Linked DNA regions of Alligator mississippiensis. Each later gene encodes a partner of the first gene's protein in a complex. Links are inferred from orthologs where the notes say so. Each region holds a gene or a part of one and is shown in the gene's direction. Other genes may lie near its edges. The genes, in order: DHX16 and CRNKL1.

Region 1 (10,343 bases):
ACCCTATATTTTGGGCTGGCAGTGGGTGGGGGTGGTGGGCAGCACCTGGGCTAAGCCCTGAGGCAGGCAGAGCAGCAGGGCACTGGGGCTGTGCTGAGCTGGAAGACCACTGCAGACAGGCAGGGTCAGGGGACACTGACTTTTTGCAGACAGTGCTCACCCTAGCACCCCAGGTCAGCAGTCAGGGGCACTGGGCCACAGAGAGCTCTGGCATGGTCCCTAGCATGTCTACCAGAGGGACTGTGCCATCCATGGTTGATATGTACCACTGAAGCCCTGACTGTTCACACATCTGGCCAGAACTCAGCTCCATACTACTATCCAAAATCCTGCGCCCCACAGCCATGATCAGGCAGAGTCCTGACACTTTCCCTTCTTGCCCCCAGCGGCTGTGTGGCTATGACCCAGCCGTCCCACCTCAGAGGCGGTTGCATCTCAGCACCAGGGGTGTGATCCCTGTGCGGCTACGACTCCACCTGCTCTACCCCAGACGTGGCGTGGGCATATCCAAGTGCTGCATTAGGGCCCCTCCTTCCCCTATCGCTATTTGTGGCCTAGCCTGGCTGCACCTCAAGGTGAAGAGGAGGCTGTTGCCCTTGGTGAAATCGTTTTTCTCTGCAGGCAGGACAGGACAACTAATCTCATTTCCTGCAGGGTTTATCTCCTGCTGTGTCTCCTGCTGCTCTGTGCCTGGCTGGGGTGGGGGCAGGGGCACCCTCTTGGCAGGGGCACCCACCAGACCCCATGGCAGAGGGGAGAGAGTCATGAAGGCTCCCAAAGGGTTTGTTATGCTAGGGTCTCCTGTAAGCAGCAAGGGGCTTAATTGACTGCTCTGTTACTGGAGGGTCTAATGTTACTGCTTTGTTGTTGTAGGACAGGAAGTCTCAACCAGGATGTTGCAGCCCCCCTGGGGTACCTTTACACCATTTCAAGGGTGCCATGGGGTGCCACACAATGTTAGCACTGCTAAGGTGCAAACATACTACACAAGATAAACCCAGAGATTTCAGATAGGAACCCATAGTGTTAAAAGCATTCTGACCTTTGGTGGTCTGTCTGAGTTCTTTGCAACAGAAGAATCGTTCTATTATTTTTCTGTAGTAAAAAAAGAGTAAAAACAAAGAGCTGGCACCTTCCAAAGGGTGCCTTGAATTTAATGAGGGGGACTTTGAATCGAACAAGTGGAGCCTTGAGTATGAAACGGCTACTGCTGGAGGGGCTCTTGGCAGCAGGGAAGCTCAGCACGTGGGCGTTATTGTGGGACTGTGGGTGTGTTGTTGGTGGAGTGGGTCCCAGCTCTGGGGCTGGGTCCTGTGGTTTGTTGGGGAGGGGTGGATTTCTCAGCCTGTATCGTTTGCTCCTGAAGGGTCTCCAGGCCTCAGCACACAGGTGTTATTGTAGGGCCCCTCGAGAGTGGTGGAGCCCAAGCCCAGACTTGTTGTTGCAGGGGCTCTTCATGCCATGCGTACACCCCATTGGCATGTTACTGCAGGGCCTAAGACAGGACACAGCAATTGGTAATTACAGGGTCTTGCTTGATGGGGGACAGGGGAGACAAGCATCTATCCAGTATGCTAAGAGGCAGGACTCCAGGCTAGATGGCAATCCAGGCAGGGGGTGGAGAGGGGCTGAGATGCCAGGCTAGATGGGCTTGCTGGTCTGATCCTCCCTGCCTTTCCCATGCAGCTGAAGATTTCATTCAGCGAGAGCCAGCTGGAGCGCACTTTCCAGTACCCATCGGAGGGGTCCTTGCTGGAGGAGTTTGGACCCCCTGAGGAGTTGGACCTCCCACCCTCGGCCAACCCCCATGGGGAGGACGATGAGGAAGAGGAGGAGCTTCTGCTTCTTCATCGGGGCATCCCAGGGGTGCTCGGGACCAAGCCCCTCATTGTGGGTGAGTCTCCTGTGCTGCTGGAGGTTGGGGTGGGGGATGCTGTTTCTGGCAGGCAGGGCTGATCCCATGCCATAAGGGGCACTGTGCCACGGGAACAGGGTGTAGTCAGCCCTGAAGGACCACCTGGAAAATCTTAGCATCTCTCTGCTGTGCTGCCCACCCCTGGGCAAGGCTATTGCTCACCCCACTGCAGGCCTGAGGGCTCCATCTGCTGGCTGTCGCGGGGAATGGCGGGGTGCAGCTCATGCCCTGGAACAAAGGCATCCATCCAGCCTATTCCAGTTTCCATGTGTCTGACAAATTGTTCCTCCCCTGCAACCTGTGTAGCTGCAGCTGTGCTCCCAGCCCCCTCGCTCACTTCCAGTTTCCCAGTGCGCCTTGCTGCTGTGGTCAAGCACCTAGTGGATCAGAGTACTGGGGAGCTGCAAGGCAGGACACCTGGGCTCTCTTCTCACCTTGGGGCACACAGTGGGGTGAGGGAGGGTTAGAGATGTGTTTGTGGGGGCTTGGAGGTGGGATACCTGCGACCTCTCTCCAGCATGGGAGGGAAGGAGGGGCCTGGTGATTTCGAGCCCTGGAGCCTGGGAGCGTGGACTCCTGGCTTCCCTTCCCCTTTTGGTTCTCCAGTTGCTACCTCTGCTTCCCTACTCAGTTCCCCCTTTTTTTTTCTCTCCTGACAGATGAATCCTGCAGGCGGTAGCCTCGTGAGCTCCTCCTTACAGCGGGGGAAGCAGGGCTGATCCAGAAGTTGCCCTGTCACAATGGGGTCCCAGCCAGCCCCGTCTCTTTTGTCTTCCAGTAAAGTCCCAGCAAGAAGGGGGCTGAAACAGAGCAAGCACTGGAGGGCTGATAGCCCCAGGTCCCTCTTGCTGTTATCAGGACAGTGGAGCTGGGATACTGTCCATCTCTTTGACTACTCCCGGCATGGCCCAGCTGGGAATTGAGGCCAAGGAACAACATGTGATCCAGGGAGCCACAAAGAAGAACCCCCCACCCACCTGCACTGTGCTGGGAGCTCTGCTTCCCGCTGCTGGGAGAGCTCTTTAATCCCATGGACTGTATTGAGAGCTGATTCCACCTGCTGCCTGCCACAGAAACAGTAGGAGAGCTGGGCAGGGATGGACTCAGTGGTGGGGGTCGGGGGCAGTGAAAACTGCTCCCAGACACACCCGCACAAGCTTCTTTTGTAATTCTGCACCCTGTTTTGTAAGGGACTGGGGTGGGGTGGGGTGGGGTATGGAGGGGAGGGGGAGGGGTTGACTTTTGTTACAGGGGTTTTTATTTTCTAACAAAGCTGTCACAGGGGTCACAGTTAAGGGGATTCTACCGTTGAGGGAGGGCACGAGGCAGGTGGGGACACGGGACAAGTGCTGTTGGTATTGGGGAGGGGCAGGGTTCCATTTGTTACTTGTTGGGGTTCATATGTAATTGGGGCAGAGCCAACTGGTACAGGGGGCTGGCCAGTCTGTGACTGGTGGGGGGTCCTGTTGTCAATAGGAGGACATCCAGGCAGTATTAGTGGGTGGGGCAGATTGGGACTTCAGAAGGGGTTGAGGTGGGTGGGGTTGCGGGGGAGCTAGTTACATTTGGGCATAGCCATTTTTATGTACATGGTGCAAGACCTGATGCCCAGAGAGGGGAGGGCAATATGTGTTTTTTCAGGGCGGGGGGGGCGGGGGGAGATGGGACACGACACAGGAGGTAGAGTCAGTAGGGATCTGGGGAGGAGCCAGCTGAAAGTAGAGGCAGCAGGGAAGAGGAGGGAAGGATAGAGGTATGACTTCCTTGTTTAGCCACTCCGTTTCCTGTTTAGATGGAGCAACATTATTTACCTCCTTCTGTGGAGGTCCAGATGAGCAGGTCTGAGCATGGAGCAACTGTGGAATCAGATGAAGGGGTGAAGGGCAGAGTGAGGAACTGGCTGCAGTCGTCCCCTCCCCGATGAGCTCAGCTTGTTCTCAGTATTGTGATCCATGTCTTTTCCTTTCCTTTTGCACTGGAAGGAACAGATGCACCCTTGCCTGCTGCTAGGGACTGCAGCCGCCTGCCCGGACAGTGGCAGGGGCAGCCAGCTGGGGAGGGTGAGAGAGATACAGGGCGTCATGACCTCTCTTAACTTAACCCATGTCCGTGCCAGGTCTGAGCTGCAGCAGGGAGTGAGGGGGAGGGGAAGGTGGAAGGTTTGGGGGTCACCTCTGACCTTTTTCCCAACAGCGTTTTTTATTTTATAATAATAATAATAATAATAATAATAAAAGAGAGCAGTGTTGCACGTGGACCTGGCCTTCTGTTACCTGTGTTTACCTCAGCTCCTAGGGTAATGGACCAGATCATGAGGACACAGCTCCCATGCACTCCCCATGGATGGCAGATGGCACTGCAAGGACCTGTCTCCCTTGCAGCCCTTATTTGGAAGTCACAGCCTGAAATGAACCCAGATCTGCATCTCATAGATTCATAGATTGTAAAGCTGGAAGGGACCTTAGAAGATCATTGGGCCCAGCTCCCTGCATGGAGCAGGAAAAACAACAGGGGTCAGGTGACCCCAGCAAAGTGCCTGTCCAGTCTCCTCTTAAAGATTTTCAGGGTAGGCTAAAAAAAACAGGCTCTTGTTTCTGCCCAGTCTCAAACCAGGGACCTTTCACATCTTAGGCAAATATGATAACAACTACACTACAAAAACCCATCTAAAGAAACTCATCTCAATCTCTTAACTGGGATGCTGAAATGCAGCTGCCCCTGCTCTTTGGCCAGAGACCTGGCTCTGCTCTTGGTAGCACACACACTCGGTGATCACACACAGTGGATGCACCCAGTGCTGTTCCCTGTCACATTCTCTCCATCACAGCAGCACAAAGCTCTGCTGTCCTTTGCCTTACACCTGGAATCTCCCAGTTAGTGCTACAAGGGTCACATCCTATGGGGCTGCTGAATCCCTCGTGTGGCATCCAACTAGAATGCACCTTCTCTGGCTGGAAGACAATGAGGTATGTGGCTGGAGAGGATAAATCAACTTATATCTGTAAATAGGGTAAAATCCAGGCCTGTAAAAAACAAAGCTACTTTGGTAGACAGGTTATACATTGGTAAATTATAGCAGGAAGCCAATTGGGAAGAAAACTCCTATGCCTAGAAATGTCGTGAAGTGCGTGACTCAAGGGCATAGAAATATAGTAGCAATTAATAGTTTGACTCAAGCCTGGTAATGAAGGGAAATGAGCTCCCTTGTCGGTCCCTTACATCTATAGAAAGATTTAAGCAGGAAGTTGACTCACGTGTGGTCAAACAGGAACAGGGGGTGTTAAACAAAACAGGTGAGTAGGAAGCTGACTCATACCCCATTAATTGCGGGCAGAAGCCAAGTCAGGAGGCAGCACATACATATGCTGCCAGCTTCTGGATAGGTCCAGGTCAGGAGCTGGCTGGGAGCTGTGGCCCTGGTAACACTGCTTCAGACCGTGGGTTTGAGGCAAGAGGTGGGAGCATGGGTTTCAGCTGAAGTCCAAGAAAGCAATTAAAGCTGCAATCAGATGGTGGGCCACAGATTGGGACCACGTTTGCTCCTGGGAGAGTAATAGGAGGACAACTCCATGCCTGAGGCAGTGTAGCAGACGGGGCAGCACTAGGTGCCTACAGTGGTTGCTATTTTTGCACCCTGCGCGCTGTTACACTATTGCTCTCTAGTGATTGGAACAGCCCCCCGCCCGCATTAAACCCCCTGCATGAGCAGTGATGGCAACAACTGAGGGCAGAGCCCCCCTCTCTCCTAGCAGGTTGGGTTCACCACAGTGCAGATCCCATACAGCAACCTGGCTTGGCTGCACCTTGCTGCGTGTCCCTCCACTGAGTAACTTGCAACTTAAAGGGCTGAAATCACAGTAAGGACTTGGGATCCCGCAGGTAGTGCCCGCAAGCCCCGAGGCCTCATAAGCCCCATCAGCTGCTGTTCGCAGTGCAGCGCAGCGCAGATTACAGTCATTATGGTAAAGATGCACAAGTGCCTGGCTAAGGGCCCATTTTATGTTAACGAGGGCAGAAGCAGTCCCAAGGGAGGCCAGGCTCAGCTCACAGCGCAGAGGATTTGGTGCATCCCACGTGCCTCCACTGCAACATAGAAGCCAGGTGTGACTCATAGCTCCTAGTTATGGCACCAGGGGCCAGACCAGAGCAGCAGCATCCCACAGGAGCGCACCCCTGGTGAAGGTTTCATGAAGGTGCAACGGCATCTGCTGATGTAATTACGGTAGAAGCGCCTAATGTGGCGCACACCCGCGGCTCATCGCTCACGCATTACGGCAGACGAAGCCGAGAGCGCCGCGCGCCTGCGCAGTTCAGCGGCCGCTTCCAGGCGCCCCGCCCGTGCGCTGGTTGGCCCGCGGCGTCACGTGACGGGAAACTGAAGCTGGCAGCGGAGACGGTGGCCCCGAAGGGGCCTTCAGCGGACGAAGATGGCGGGGGGCGGCCCCGCGGCTCTGGAGCGGTGGGTGTCCGGGGAGCTGCACGCGCTGCTGGGGCTGAGCGAGCGGCACGTGGCCGCCTTCCTGGTGGGGCTGGCGCGGCGCAGCCACAGCCCCGAGGACCTGCTGGGCCGCCTGGAGCAGACCGAGACCCTGAACGTCAGCGACCCGGCCGTGCGCAGCTTCGCGCAGCGCCTCTGGGACCAGGTGGGCGGGGCCGCCGGGGCGGGGCGGGGCCTCTTTCTGGGGGCGGGGCCACCGCCGCGGGGGGGATCGAACCTGGCTGGGGGGGGGGTCTAGCTGAGGGGGCGGGGCCTCCTACTGGGGGCGGGGCCACCGCTGGGCGGGCGTCGAGCGTGGTTGAGGGGGAGGGGCAGTGTGTGGGGGGGGAGCTGAACTGAGGAAGGAGGGGGAGGAGCCAATGGGGAAGGGGCGGGGCACCACTGGGGGGAAAGGAAAGCGTCAGGGCGGAGGAGTGACTCGATGTCTTTCTGCCACCCCAGATCCCGCGCCAGGCCCCTGCGGAGCGGCCGTCGCGCGCAGCGGAGCGGGAGGCGCTGGCTCTGCAGCAGAAGAACCGCTCGTACCAGCTGCTGGAGGACAGCGAGGAGGAGGAGGCGGAGGAGGCCGGGCGGCGCCGGGGGGCGGGGGCCCGGGCCCGGGGCAGCACCCCCGGCTCCGTGCGCAGCCCCGAGGGAGGGAAGCACAAGAAGCGGCGCAAGCATCTGCGCCGGAAGCGGGACGAGACCTCGGGAGAGGAGAGCGAGGCGGAGCCAGGGAGGTGCGTGGGTGGGTGGGTGGGTGGGTGGGGTGCCGGGCCTCTCCCTGCAGGTGGAGTCGCCCAGAGATGAACCTCTCTCCCCACCTCTCCACCACTGTGTCCCAGATCCACCTGGGTCCTCCAGAGCCCTCTCCCAGCCAAAGCCTCGGCCTGGCACCCAGTGCGTGCCCTGCTCAGCAATCAATGTGGCCAAGTCGGAGAGAGCTCTTAGCCTCCCTGCCCCCGCCTTCTGGTTTTGCTCGCCTGCTTTTAGCTCTGTGTGGGCAGGGCCGCAGTCTGCCTGTCCTCCCGGCCCATGCAGTCGGCATCGTTTTTACCAGGTTCTCCTGCAAGCTCTGCTGTCTGGGCTCTGAGTCAATCTTGCAGCTGTTTTCTGTGTAACCCCCTGAAAGGCTGGTTTTCCCTGCCCACCCACATCACTAAAACTTCATCTCAGTGCCTCAAAGTCACCCTTTTTCTAGTCTTCACCAAGGCAGCTTGGCCCTTCGCCATCCTGCTGCCAGGGTCATTCTCCTAGCTCATCTTGGTGACTGCACCCCCCTCTCCGTGCTTGTCTCTGTGGGCTCCTCCTTTGCACTGTCAGACACCAGCGTGTGTTCACTCTTGCGGCCTAACTGCCGCCTTGCCTGGCATCCCCCTATAGTGAGACGTCATGTTCTGCCTCTGGTCAGCCCATAATGCCAGCTTCCATTGCCCTCTTGTTTCAGACATGTCCAGCCACACTTCCCCTTGTGCTGCCCCTCACACTGAAGGGTCTCCCTGTAAAATCCCACAAACTAGCTCACAATCTTCCTTCCAATCATTTCTTGTAGCCCTTCTTTTCCACGACACTCGCAGGACTTTGCAGTAAGTTGCTGATGTTCTTAGACCACCGCCCCCATGCTGCCAGGACTGTCTCGGTGTTTTCTTGGGCTCTTCCCTTCTGTCTGTACTCTGAAGTGGGGGCCATCTTCCTTGTCTTCGCAGTGCTTGGCACAGCAGTGGACCCAGGCCCATGCCTGGGGCTCTCTGGTGCTATGGCCTTGGCTTCTCTTGGCAGGGAGGCAGCACAGTCCCCACCAAAGAAGGACTCGGAGGATGAGTGGGAGCAGAGCGAGCGGGATCGCCTGCGGGACCTGGAGGAGCGGGATGCCTTTGCTGAGCGGATCCGGCGAAAGGACAAGGATCGGACCAGGAATGTTCTGGAGTGCTCGGACAAGAAGGCAAGTCCCTGTCCCATCCCCTAATGAGAGGCTGTTTGCCCAGTCCTCAGACCCAGCTACTCTGGGATCCTTCCTGCTCTCTGAGGTTAGACCCAACTCCTCTCCTACGACCTGCCTCTGATCCTGGAGGTCCCTCCCCAGTGCCCATAATACCCGCCTCTTGATGGGCTGATTGCAAACCCAGTGAATGCAAGGGCAGCAGGGAGGGAGAAGCTGAAGTGGAAGTCAGGGCAGGAGACAGATCCATTTCCTTTCATGAGGGTGAAGAAGTGGGTGATTAGCAGAGCAGGGTGTAGTATCTGGTAGCCCCAGCTCCTTCCCATCGTGGGACTGTGCACCATATGCCCTGCTGGGCCCTTTAAGCCCCAGAGGCAGGTTAAGGCCAGGGACGGGGTGGGTCAGGGCTGTATAGGAGACCATCTGGGGCCATCTGCATGACTTGAACTTCTCTCCCTTTCCCCTCTTTGTTGAGCTCAGGCCTATGAGGAGGCTCAGAAGCGACTGAAGATGGCAGAAGAGAATCAGAAATCCATGGTAAGGGCTTTGTCACCTTCGCCTTCCCTTTCTTCTCTTGTGGGTGACCAGGGATTTGTTGGCTCATTTTGCCCAGTGTCTCACTACCCTGGATCAGAGTGAAGGGCCCATCTAACATGATGTCCTGCCCCAGATTGTGCCAGCAGGCCCCGCTGTCTTGGTGTCCTGCCTTTGTGCGTCAGACATATGGGCCCCATCTAGCCCAGCAATCTCTCCCTCACTTCTTTGTTCTTCTTGCTTAGCTGAGCTGCTGTGCAGTCCCTTCCCCACCCCCCTTGTTTAGAGGCTGATGACTCCATTGTGCAGAGAGGGGAAACGGAGGCAGATCACCCAAGTGATTAGCCCAGGGTTGCACCAGGGTCTCACTGCCAGAACTGGGAAATCCACTCTCTTCTGATCTGCTTTGTCAGCCTTTCCATAACCACCTCCTTGAATCAAAAAGGATCCAAGAGTCCTGGCTTTTTGCTCCCTCTCCTCCTCCCAGAGCTGGGGTTGGAACCCAGGTGTCCAGGAGTTTAACCTCTGGTCTTTTTCCCCCCATGTCTCACTTCCAGGTTCCTGAGCTGCGTAAGAAGTCACGCCGGGATTACCTGGCCAAGCGGGAGCGGGACAAGCTGGAGGATCTGGAGGCAGAGATTGTAGATGAGAAATACCTCTTCTCGGAGCTGGAGCTGACGACGCGGGAGCAGCGGGAGCTGGAGTACAAGTGCCGGGTGCGCGACCTGGCCAAGGAGTACAAGCAGGCAGGCGAGAAGGAGAAACTGGAGAAGAGCAACCGCTACTACATCCCCGAGGAGAGTCGCAGCAAGGTATCTTCCCCCTGGAGGAGGGGATGGGGCAGCCATAGTGGGTGCTCCTCACCTTTCAGGTAGCACTCTCTAGTGTGGGAGACCTGCCTGGGGATTGGGGAGGTAAAGAAAGGGCCTGTGAGACATGCCCAAGGTGAGGGGGTTGAGGGATTTAGGGTGTGTCTGGGGACCAGGGGGTTGAGGGGGTGGACTGTGGCGGTGCTCAGTGCCCTGGTGGGTGGCTGTAGGACTGGTCAGAAAGGGAATGAGATTCCTTCTTGGGTGGCCCATGCAGCAGTGGAGGAGACTTGGATGAGCCTGTCACCCAGTCTGATTTACCTAGAGCCAGGGTCAGTGTGTGAGCCTCCAGCCAGGGACCATTTCTGCTGGGGCTTGACTCATACCCTAGAACTCTCATGTCTCTACAGAAAATCCCCGACCACTATGAGGAGCCGCAGGCAGATGAGCGCACGGCTCCCCGAGATGAGCAGCAGCGCTGGGAGGAGGAGCACATTGGGGCGGCTGCCCTGCGCTTCGGGGCCCGTGATGCCAGCCAGCACCATCCCCACAAGGACTATGAGTACGTGCTGGAGGAGGATGAGATGATCCAATTCGTCAGCGCCGTGCAGATGCAGGGCATCCAGCAGGAGAAGGTTGGGGCTAGGACCTGTTCACCACCTAGGGGCA
Region 2 (9,659 bases), on another chromosome or scaffold:
ATGACAGGGGAGTGTCCCTATGACAAACACCCTAATAAAAACCACTATACAATTGGCGATTCTCATTAAATTTATGACGTGGCAAAAAACAGCTGGCTAATATACAAATAAAACCCGTCTTCACTTCCGTGAAGAACGGGAGACCTCCGCGCACACACCTAAAAAACCTCTGAACGTATGCCTAAAAATAACTGACAAATTGATCACTTGTCAGTCTCAAATACCCGCCTGACAGCCTTCTAAGGCCCCGGACCCTTATCTGCCCGGGTGAGAGTCAGGGAGAGCTGCTGGCCGGCTGCCCTGGGTCCCGACATGGCGTCACAAACAGGATTAAGGGGAAATGTGATGGAGTGAAAATTAATTAAGAACTGCCCCTGGTGTAGTGGGGGGTCCCGCATACATAACGCGGATAAATTATGGGCCCACATCGCTTATCACCAAGCAAGCAGAGCGGAGACAGGGTGCGTCAGCGGCTACTTCTTGCTGAGAGGAGAGGAGGGAGTCGGAAAGGAATGGGCAAGCTCCGAGTGGGACAAAAAAAAGATGATTAATGTAGTGTCACTCCTACTGCATAAAAATACAAACTTAAAAACCCAGTTAGCTACAGGCAGCAAAGCTGCTGTGGAGATGACAGCGTGCCAAAACCCTCCGTTGCCACAAAAAAATGACACCAAAAAAATATGAGCTGCCCGGAGGACCTAAAAAAGAAGGGCAGAGCCACAAAAGAACAGGTGGGACTCCACCCAACAAGCCCGCCCCCTGAGATGACGTCGCTCCCAACGGCCCCACCTCTGTCCCACAGGGAGGGGACAACGAGCGAGAATCCGATCCTCCCACCAGACACAATAACAACTACAGCTGCCGCTCATCCTATAACAATAACCAAGCAAATAACCAACCCAGAGGGTGCAACCACCACCACCACCCTTGATGTCATCAAAGCATACATGGAGATTTATAAAAAAGAGGACACCATCACCCTTCGCCTTCTCCTCAACCTGCTCGTTACTCAGCCAGCAGAAAATCTTTTAAGTCAACTTCCACGACTACAAGCCCTTGTAAAGTCAACAACCGCAAACTCAGCCATGGCCATAAGCTATCTTACTGCATATCCAGTCAAATACCAAAGACCAAGACATTCCCAATTCAACTCACGAAAAAAATCAAGACTGCCATCCCAGAGGACACCAGAGGAAAGAGCCATGTTTGGGTTCCTCCTAAACTACTTCACGCTTACCAAACAACGGCTGCACATCCTAGAAGATGCGGGACAATGACAACTGACACATATACTAGGCTACCAACCTCGACCGATCCCGCCAACTGGTCCGGGCCCCGGAGGCACCCACGCCTAACAGCGCACTCTGGATAACACCGCAGCCTGCCCCAACAAACAACTACTCGAAGGGGGCATCTATAAACTATTCCAACCACTACGACATTATGCTCGTAGATATACAAAAGACAATTTTATTATTTTTTAGTTTTCTTTGTTTGTTTGTCTGTTCGTTTATTTTGTTCCCTTACAGGCCCAGCGGTGACGAAGAGACAATCTGTGACTGCCCGATCACAAAAATCACCGAACACCAATCTGCAGCACACCTGAGTCGACGACACAATGACCGCCCCTGCTCATATGTTGCAAGCAGGGTCGTCGCTCTATTCCTGCTGTTACCAACAGTTTCTTCGGCGAACGGAGCTGACTTCAAAACCTCCAACTCGGTCCTCAACCTTTTGTCATTTTAGGCCAAAGACATAACTAATGACTCATTTAATGGTTTTTCTTTTCCTGTTAATGATCTTATACATACTTGTTTGTTTTGTTTTAAAGCCTGTTTGAGACTTTACGCAATAAAACCAAGTCATAATGTTTTGAATAAAAAGCTCTAAATTATTAAAAAAACCCCAACATTGATAGTCTGAAGGTTTGGGGGATGTCACAAAAAAGTCGGATATAGACAAAAACATTGATTAAAAAAACGTAAAAAAAGAGATGAGGGAGATGATGATAAAAGGGGACAAATAGTCAAGGTTCTAAAGGAACCTATACATTCAAAGAAGAGGAAAAGAAATGGTTTGAGAAGAGAGGTGACAATAAAAAAAAGCCGCTAATGACAATACAAAAAATTGGTGTTTTCAGAGCTACGATTTAACTCAAATATAATAAGCCACAATTTTAAAAACCCTCCGTATAGGGGGCATTAATCTGATACCTCACTCTCAGTTACCTTAAAAAAATCGAATTAAAAAAAATTACATAAAATCAAAAATAACAGTTTACTGCGTTTAAGTTAATTCAAGTGTCGGCATCTTTGATTATCTTGTGTTTACCATGGATCATAATAGCCATTGTTATATTTGTGTGTTTTAGTTGTTGGATTTTACAATATCTCAAAACTAAGTTAACCACGCTTTTTGCTTTTATATACACTCGCTTGCCAAACACTAACAATGATAAACAAAATGGTCTATATATAAACATGATGTGACTTGCTGTGCCATGGACAAGGGGACATGTCACAACCAAATTAAATAGTGCCCATGTCACAAACAAGTAAAACCATTCAAAACAGTTTTTTTCTACACTAGGTTAACTAAGGGTTAACAATAATGATAGTAACCGCTTTTTTGCTGCGCATGCAAAAAGAAATTTATTACTGCGCCACTAACAGAGATAAAAACTTTTGCCTTCTTTGCTTTATATAAATCATTACAATTGGTCGGAATGACAGGGGAGTGTCCCTATGACAAACACCCTAATAAAAACCACTATACAATTGGCGATTCTCATTAAATTTATGACGTGACAAAAAACAATTGGCTAATATACAAATAAAACCCGTCTTCACTTCCGTGAAGAACGGGAGACCTCCGCACACACACCTAAAAAACCTCTAAATGTATGCGTAAAAATAACTGACAAATTGATCACTTGTCAGTCTCCCCCGTCTCGACCTTATCAGACGTAAATCAATGACCTGCCGGCCCGATTTTTTCTCCGTTTATCTGCCCGACCAACGAACTCTTATACAGACCGACCTATGACCTACGAACCTTAAGCTATAACTAACCAAGTATCTCTGACCTCCGCTATTCACCACCTTGATGGCATAAATAAATAATCTTGCTTTACAACCGATAAGCGTCCGCCTAATTAATTCCACTCCAAGCTTCACAAATACCCACCTGACAGCCTTCTAAGGCCCTGGACCCTTATCTGCCCGGGTGAGAGTCAGAGAGAGCTGCTGGCCGCTGCCCTGGGTCCTGACACATCTCATCTTATAATTTCTATACACTTTATAGAGACAGGAGCCCCTACCTCATCCCAACTTCCCAATACCATATTGCATCGCAGGTCCCAATCCTAGATGCTCATACTTGTGGGAAGGCCCCTATAACCACCCAGTATCCAAGTCACAGTCATGGGTTTTATTGTGTAGAACTAGACCTTACCAACTAAATCAGGGGTAGGCAATTATTTGGGCTGGAGGACCACTTAAGAAGTGGATCATGGCTCTGCCCCATGCTGTTACCACCCTACAATCTCAGCCCTGGCCCCAGCCACCCATCCTGTTCCTGGACGCTGCTCCCCGCCTGCCCGCAGCCCCATGCCAACCACCAAAACATAACATGCCCTGCCTGCAGGGGTCCTTGGCAGGTCTCCATGGAGATACTGCCTGCCTGGCACCCCTTCTGACCCTGAAAATCTATGAGATTGAGGGCAGTGGTTCTCTCCCAGGCCTTTTATCCGTATCTTCTCTTCCAGCTGGTCAGAGACTTTGACCCTCTAAATAAAGGCCTCTACCATCACTCGTTCACTGTACACATCCTCTAAAGGCTACTAATGTCACATCCCTTATTCACTAACACAGGCTCACATGGACTTGTTTCCCATTACAGGAAGACTAGCAAGAATGCATCTGCAGAACCAATTATGCTCACTTGGGCAAACAAGTGACCGTGTAAGAAAAATGTCAGCAGTTACAATGCTGCTGAGGGCAGAGGTGCAACCTCCTTGGATGGCTGACAGGCAGACCCAGATTTGCTAATAAGCAAAGGGAAATCCCCACTTCTTACATTCCTTAAGAGGCCGCCTCAGCGGCATGACAAAGTTGGCAGCTGGGGGGAAACTCTACGGGGGAGCATGGAGGAAGGCAGGGGTTGGTGCACAGGCTCTGACAGTTGGGGGACAGGGGGCCAAAGTTCTAAAAGGAGAGCTGGGGCGCAGCAGCCTTACCCATGCTGGGACTCCTACACCATCCCAGCTGAGCTGCTGCTGTCACCACTTGTGCTCAGCCTGCCTCATCTGTTGCTCTTAAAGCAGTAGCAGGCAAGCTGTTTCAGAGTTCCCAGGAAGGCAATGCTGCTGAGGCTCAGACTCCACAAGGGTGGTGGGTAATCCTGGCACCTCTCCTAACTTGGCATCAGGAGCAAGAGGCAGGGGCCTCTAGTAATGCTGTGGGTCTCCCTGCCCCACCACAACTGTGATTCCCCTCTCCTTAGCCATGCATCCCTGCACTTTTACATGTGAGGGCACTATATCTGTAGGGTGGCCCACATGCAGGGCTATTGTAGAATCAAAGAAAATGACGGTTAGGAGGGATCTCAGGAGGTCATCTAGTCTAGTCTTCTCAAAGCAGGATCATCCCCAACTAGATCATTCCAGTCAGGGCTTTGTCTAGCCAGGTCTTCAAAACCTCCAAGGATGGAGCTTCCACCACCTCTCTGGGTAACCTGTTCCTGTGCTTCACCACCCTCCTAGTGAGAAAATTCTTCCTAACATCTTCCCATTTGATGCCTTTTTTTCAAGTGAGCACATGAGAGAGCAAACTCTTGCTGAGGGCAGCTCAGCTGGGCTATAAAGTGTACTTCTCCCTGCCTGACTTCAGGCTCATCGGGCAAGCTGCCTCTCCCAAGTCCTACATGGCAAGCACCCGCCTGGCCGCGCAGACCTGCAACAGGGGAGGAGGCTGCGGCTGGGGAAGCCAGAAATGGCTAGGCAGCACCGCCCCAGGGAGGGCCCCATCACCCCGCCCCGCAGTGCCCCGGGCGGGCGCGAGGGGTCGCACAAGGGACGACCGAGGGGAGAGGGAGGAAATGTTGGGCGGCAGGAGTGCCGCGCGGCATGCTGGGTGTGGTAGTTCCGGCCCGCGCGGCATGCTGGGGGATGCAGTTCGTGGCGCGAGCCCAGGGGAGACCGCTGCTATCCTCGCGGCCCACAGCGTCACTCACCTCGGCAGGATGGAGCAGATCGGAGTGCCCGGCCCTCGGGCTGCTGGGGCGGCGCGGGCAGGGGCGGGGCGCCCTGCAGGAGCCGAGGCGAGCGGCGGCGCCGGGAGGACGCAGGAGCGGTCGCAGCCGCAGCAACGGATCAGCCGCGGGAGACGCGCCGCCGCCGTTACCGCGGCAACGACCCGGGCGACTCCGCGCATGCGCGCGGGGCGGAGGTGAAAGGTCAGGGCTGAGGCCTCTCGGGCCCGGAGAGGCGGTAACATGGCGTCTACGGCGGCCGGCAAGCAGCGGATCCCCAAAGTGGCGAAGGTGCGCGCGAGCGGTGCTGTGGGGGGATAGAGTGTCCGTGACCTGCCCCTCCCCCCCCCCCCCGCTCCTGCGGGGTGCGCAGCCCGGCGGGGTGGTGGGAGGGGCAGGGCCCGGGCCCGCGGCCGGGACCTACCAAGTGCGTGTTGCCGCGAGGGGGGCGCAGCTTGGAGCACCGGGGTGGGGAGGGTGCCGTGACGCAAGCGGCCGTCTCAGCGCCTCCTTCCCCCCCCCCCCCCCCGCTGCCAGGAGTTCCACGGTGATGGGATTTGTACCTTCATTCAACCCTTGTAGGGTGCACCATCAATCACAGTCAATGTGCTCACACTGCACACTCATTTTTGAGGAAGCGCCTTGATGCAAAACCCAAGTTGCTCTCGGGGAGACAACTGACCTTTGGGTTGTTGTTTTTTTATTAATATATTTAATGTTCCAGGTCAAATCAGCTCTGTATCATATCAATTGGGCAGAACTCAGTCATGCCCAAAACAGTGTGGGTTGAGCAGGTAGAGCTCAATAGTTGTAAACACTATGTATGGTGGTAGCATCCTCCATGCCAGCCTCTCATGTTGGGACTTTGTGGACTCCCAAATCTATTGGCAGGTGTCCTGCGTGCAGGCTCAAGCCTGGAGGTCTTGCGATTCAGATGCTGTCCTTGCAAAAGGCTGCTTGATCTTAGCCCACAAGAGGCCAAGAAGTGATTCAGATCATATCAATTGAGCTATCAGCACTTACTTGTGATGGCTTCCCTCAAAATAAAGAAATGCTCCGACTCTAACCCAGTTCTCATTCACTCCCTGGAAAGTTACCAGGAGCAGTATAGAGTAAATCACATTTATTTGCATACTTATTTCCATATTTTTCTGTGTACAATAGGTTTTTAAACACGTACAATAATTTTGAGCTTCCAATACGATAATTTCATATTTAAGACCTGGTAATTTAAGACCCTCAGATTTGTCACAGCTAGGCCAGGGCTGGGTCTCTCAGCCACGGCTTCTTCGGGCTAATAAATCATGCTACTGCCTCTCAGTAAACTCTTCTACATCAGCTTTGGGGTTTGGTCACTAAAAGGCACAAGTCAGGCCGGCCTTGGGGCCAGAGAGGTCCCCATGGGAGTCATGGCCTCTGCTGCTGCCGCTCCAGCTCCCAGTGTCCTGCCACAGGTTCAAATGAAAGCCAGGTAGAAATCAGCTGTCAAGTGGTTGCACATTTTCGAGCACTCACATTGTAAGCGGCTACCTCTTCTTAAAGCCGGACAGTCCTTTTTTTGCTGTGATAACGACTTTGGGCTGAATTTATTGTGCAATTGACTGCTTTGTTGTGTAATGTATGTAACGTGCAGCATGGGCCCCATTGGCAGCTTCTGCCTTTGCTGTGGCACCAGGTGACAAGCACGGGCCAGGCTCCTGCCCTGCATCCCAATTGGGCAGACTTGCTTGGGAGCCAGCGATGTCATGGGCGCTCCACCGTAGCCTGCGTAGAGGCTGGTGCACTTAAGCAGGGGCCTGTGCACAGGAGCTGCCTGTGTGGAGCTCAGTGCAGGATTGGAGCCTTTGCATGGCTGTACCTAAGTCACTCAAATGCAGATTTTATTTTTTGCTTTAAATAGTGTAAACAGGGGTATCAGACTTACCTTGTGCCCCAGGTCATATCCAGACCACAGGGCTCTTTGCAAGCCAGATGCATCCCAGGATATGAAGAAACTACAGCAACAGTGGTCGCTCTTGGAGCAAGCCTTGGCTACAGCTTTGTGTCGTGGAGGATGCACCCCTATCTGCTTGCAGACAGGACTCCCTATGGGAGGCTCATAATTAGCTTCCCACTGACCAGCTTCCAGTGGGAGGATCACAGCTACACATCGCCTTCATGGGAGACTCTTCTGTAGCTTGCTTCTGCGTCCATATGGCTGGGAGCAAGTGAAACATGGGGGCATCTGAACCCCAAGCTTCCGGGCTTGTGCCTGCACGTAGGATGCCTACCAAAGGATTTGGAAGTATCTGAAGCCCCAGACTTGGTGGAGGATACTTGCCAGTAATAGGGCCACATAAAGTTTTTGAATGATTCCAGGGATTTGGAACTGATCTGGCTAATTTAACCTGGAACACAAAAATTTTTCCTTCAAAAAAAAAAAAAAAATTGCAGTGGTCACAGTTCTGAGCTCTGACCTAAAGCACATAATAGCAGCTCCAGTCTGGTGCTGGAACAGTTGTCACATGTCCCATCCCACATGTGGTGGTAGCTCCAGCACAGGACATGCGGCAGGGACCAGCATTCTCCTTGTCCTCCTGCTGCCAATTGCCATGTCCACCCTGAATTCTGTGGCAGGCCACTCCAGTAGTCCAGTGGGCGCCAGGGGCTCAGTCTGGCCCCTGAGCGGTGTGTTTGACACACCTGATGTAGTGGAATGGAAATAAGAAAATGGAATCCTCCAGGCTACCAGTAGGGGCAGTGTTACTGCCACGGCATTATAATTAGTTACCTAGCCCAAGGGTTGGCGACCTTTTACAAACAGTGGACTGGTGCTTGCAATCTGGCTGCTCCCAATCCCTGCTGCACTGTTCCTTCCCATAGTGTCCCTGCTGCTGCCTCCACTTACCTGCATCTTCCAGTGCTGCAGATTTGCTGTCTGAAACATCAGTGAGGAGGGGTGAATTTGGCAGTGAGAGTAAGCACTGGCTGTTTTAACAGGCATGAGAGCTGCAGAAAGGGGCATTATGGAGGGGATCAGCAGCATGGTGCAGGGCAGAGAAGGGGAAGGTGTCAGGGCAAGCTGTTGCGTGCTGTAGATCCTACATGCCACCACAGGCCAGATCCAGACCTCTTTGCAGGCTGGATCCAGCCTGTAGGCTGCCAATTCCTGGTCTAGTCTATTGCTAATATTATGATCAGATACTAAGTCCAACATAGGTGACTTGTACACCCATGAGGATCCTCAGTGACACATTCCACTTTTTAAAACAAGCAGTCCTTTGAAATTGCAATGGTCAGTAGACTGACCACAACCCTTAGTTCTAAAACATGTGTATACACACCTTACTGCTGTGCTCGTGCATATAAAATTTAGCATATGGGTGAGTTTTATCCAATTAAAACGTTATAGCTTGTAGCAAGCTTGGCTGCCTGCACTCCTGGGCTGGAAGCCCCAGTCAGCTGATCGCAGGTCCCAGCCATGAGAGAGCACCAGGTGATCCCACAGCTGAGAGCTCAGATCAGTTATCAGTGCTCCCAGCCATGGAAGTACATGTTGCTCTCCCCTGGCTGGGAGCTCTGATTGAGCATGTGCAGCCTCTGGAGCACATGGGAATCTGGAAAGGCTCCAGTGTGCTCCAGAGGCTGGGAACACTTCCCATACATACAATTACAGACAGTTAAGTAGTTAAGGCCCCTGACAGATGTTACACTTATAATTATATTCTAATATTATAAAAGCCTAAATCTGTCTGTCCATCCGTCTGGCCATAATGCTTTATTCGCGCTCTGATTGGCTGACAAACAGCCAATCAGAGCGTGAAGAAGCATTTGGATAGGTGGCAGCCCGCCGTCATGATGGCGGGGGCACAGGAGATGAGCGAAGGGGGGCCTGCTCCTCCCACCTTGCCTTGGTCCCCCCGCTGCCCTGCTCCCCAGAGAAAGTTGAAACAGGGTGTCAATTTATAAAGGTTGTACGTGCAAAACATTGTAACTTGAAACGTAAGTCAAGGACTGCCTGTATTTACCATCCCACTTCTCTCTCAGTCTATCACTAGTCACACTGGGGGAATTTCACACAGCAAAATAACTGAATTAACTCAAGTCAGCAGATTTTTCAGTATTATATGGAATTTTTTAAAAAATCAAATAAAAATGATTTTTTTTTTCCTAAGGTGAAAAATAAAGCCCCAGCGGAAGTACAGATCACAGCAGAACAGCTCTTGAGAGAAGCGAAAGAGAGAGAACTTGAGCTTCTTCCGCCCCCTCCCCAGCAGAAGATCACTGATGAGGAAGAGCTAAATGATTACAAGCTTCGGAAAAGGAAGGTATGTGCACAGCTATTTGCTGCTTCTGCACAGGAGCAGGACACTAATTTATTTTTTAAGTTTGAATAACTTAAAAATGTTGTGTTTCTTTTTTAAATAACT

Evidence for each region.
Region 2: DHX16 (region 1) and CRNKL1 share a complex: the UniProt entries of both Homo sapiens proteins name them as parts of the minor spliceosome. The link is inferred for Alligator mississippiensis from reciprocal best matches to the Homo sapiens genes DHX16 and CRNKL1.

The regions. Positions count from the first base shown.
Region 1 is NC_081834.1:53,490,288-53,500,630, forward strand, and holds the start of DHX16 (pre-mRNA-splicing factor ATP-dependent RNA helicase DHX16), read left to right. Parts: upstream 1-6,221; 5' UTR 6,222-6,342; coding exon 6,343-6,558; intron 6,559-6,854; coding exon 6,855-7,132; intron 7,133-8,171; coding exon 8,172-8,334; intron 8,335-8,811; coding exon 8,812-8,868; intron 8,869-9,422; coding exon 9,423-9,677; intron 9,678-10,084; coding exon 10,085-10,309; intron 10,310-10,343. Other genes in the region: PPP1R18 (phostensin), read left to right, coding at 1,687-1,894, 2,575-2,594. UniProt on the Homo sapiens protein: Required for pre-mRNA splicing as a component of the spliceosome. Contributes to pre-mRNA splicing after spliceosome formation and prior to the first transesterification reaction.
Region 2 is NC_081824.1:229,711,235-229,720,893, forward strand, and holds the start of CRNKL1 (crooked neck-like protein 1), read left to right. Parts: upstream 1-5,435; 5' UTR 5,436-5,493; coding exon 5,494-5,541; intron 5,542-9,404; coding exon 9,405-9,557; intron 9,558-9,659. UniProt on the Homo sapiens protein: Involved in pre-mRNA splicing process. As a component of the minor spliceosome, involved in the splicing of U12-type introns in pre-mRNAs.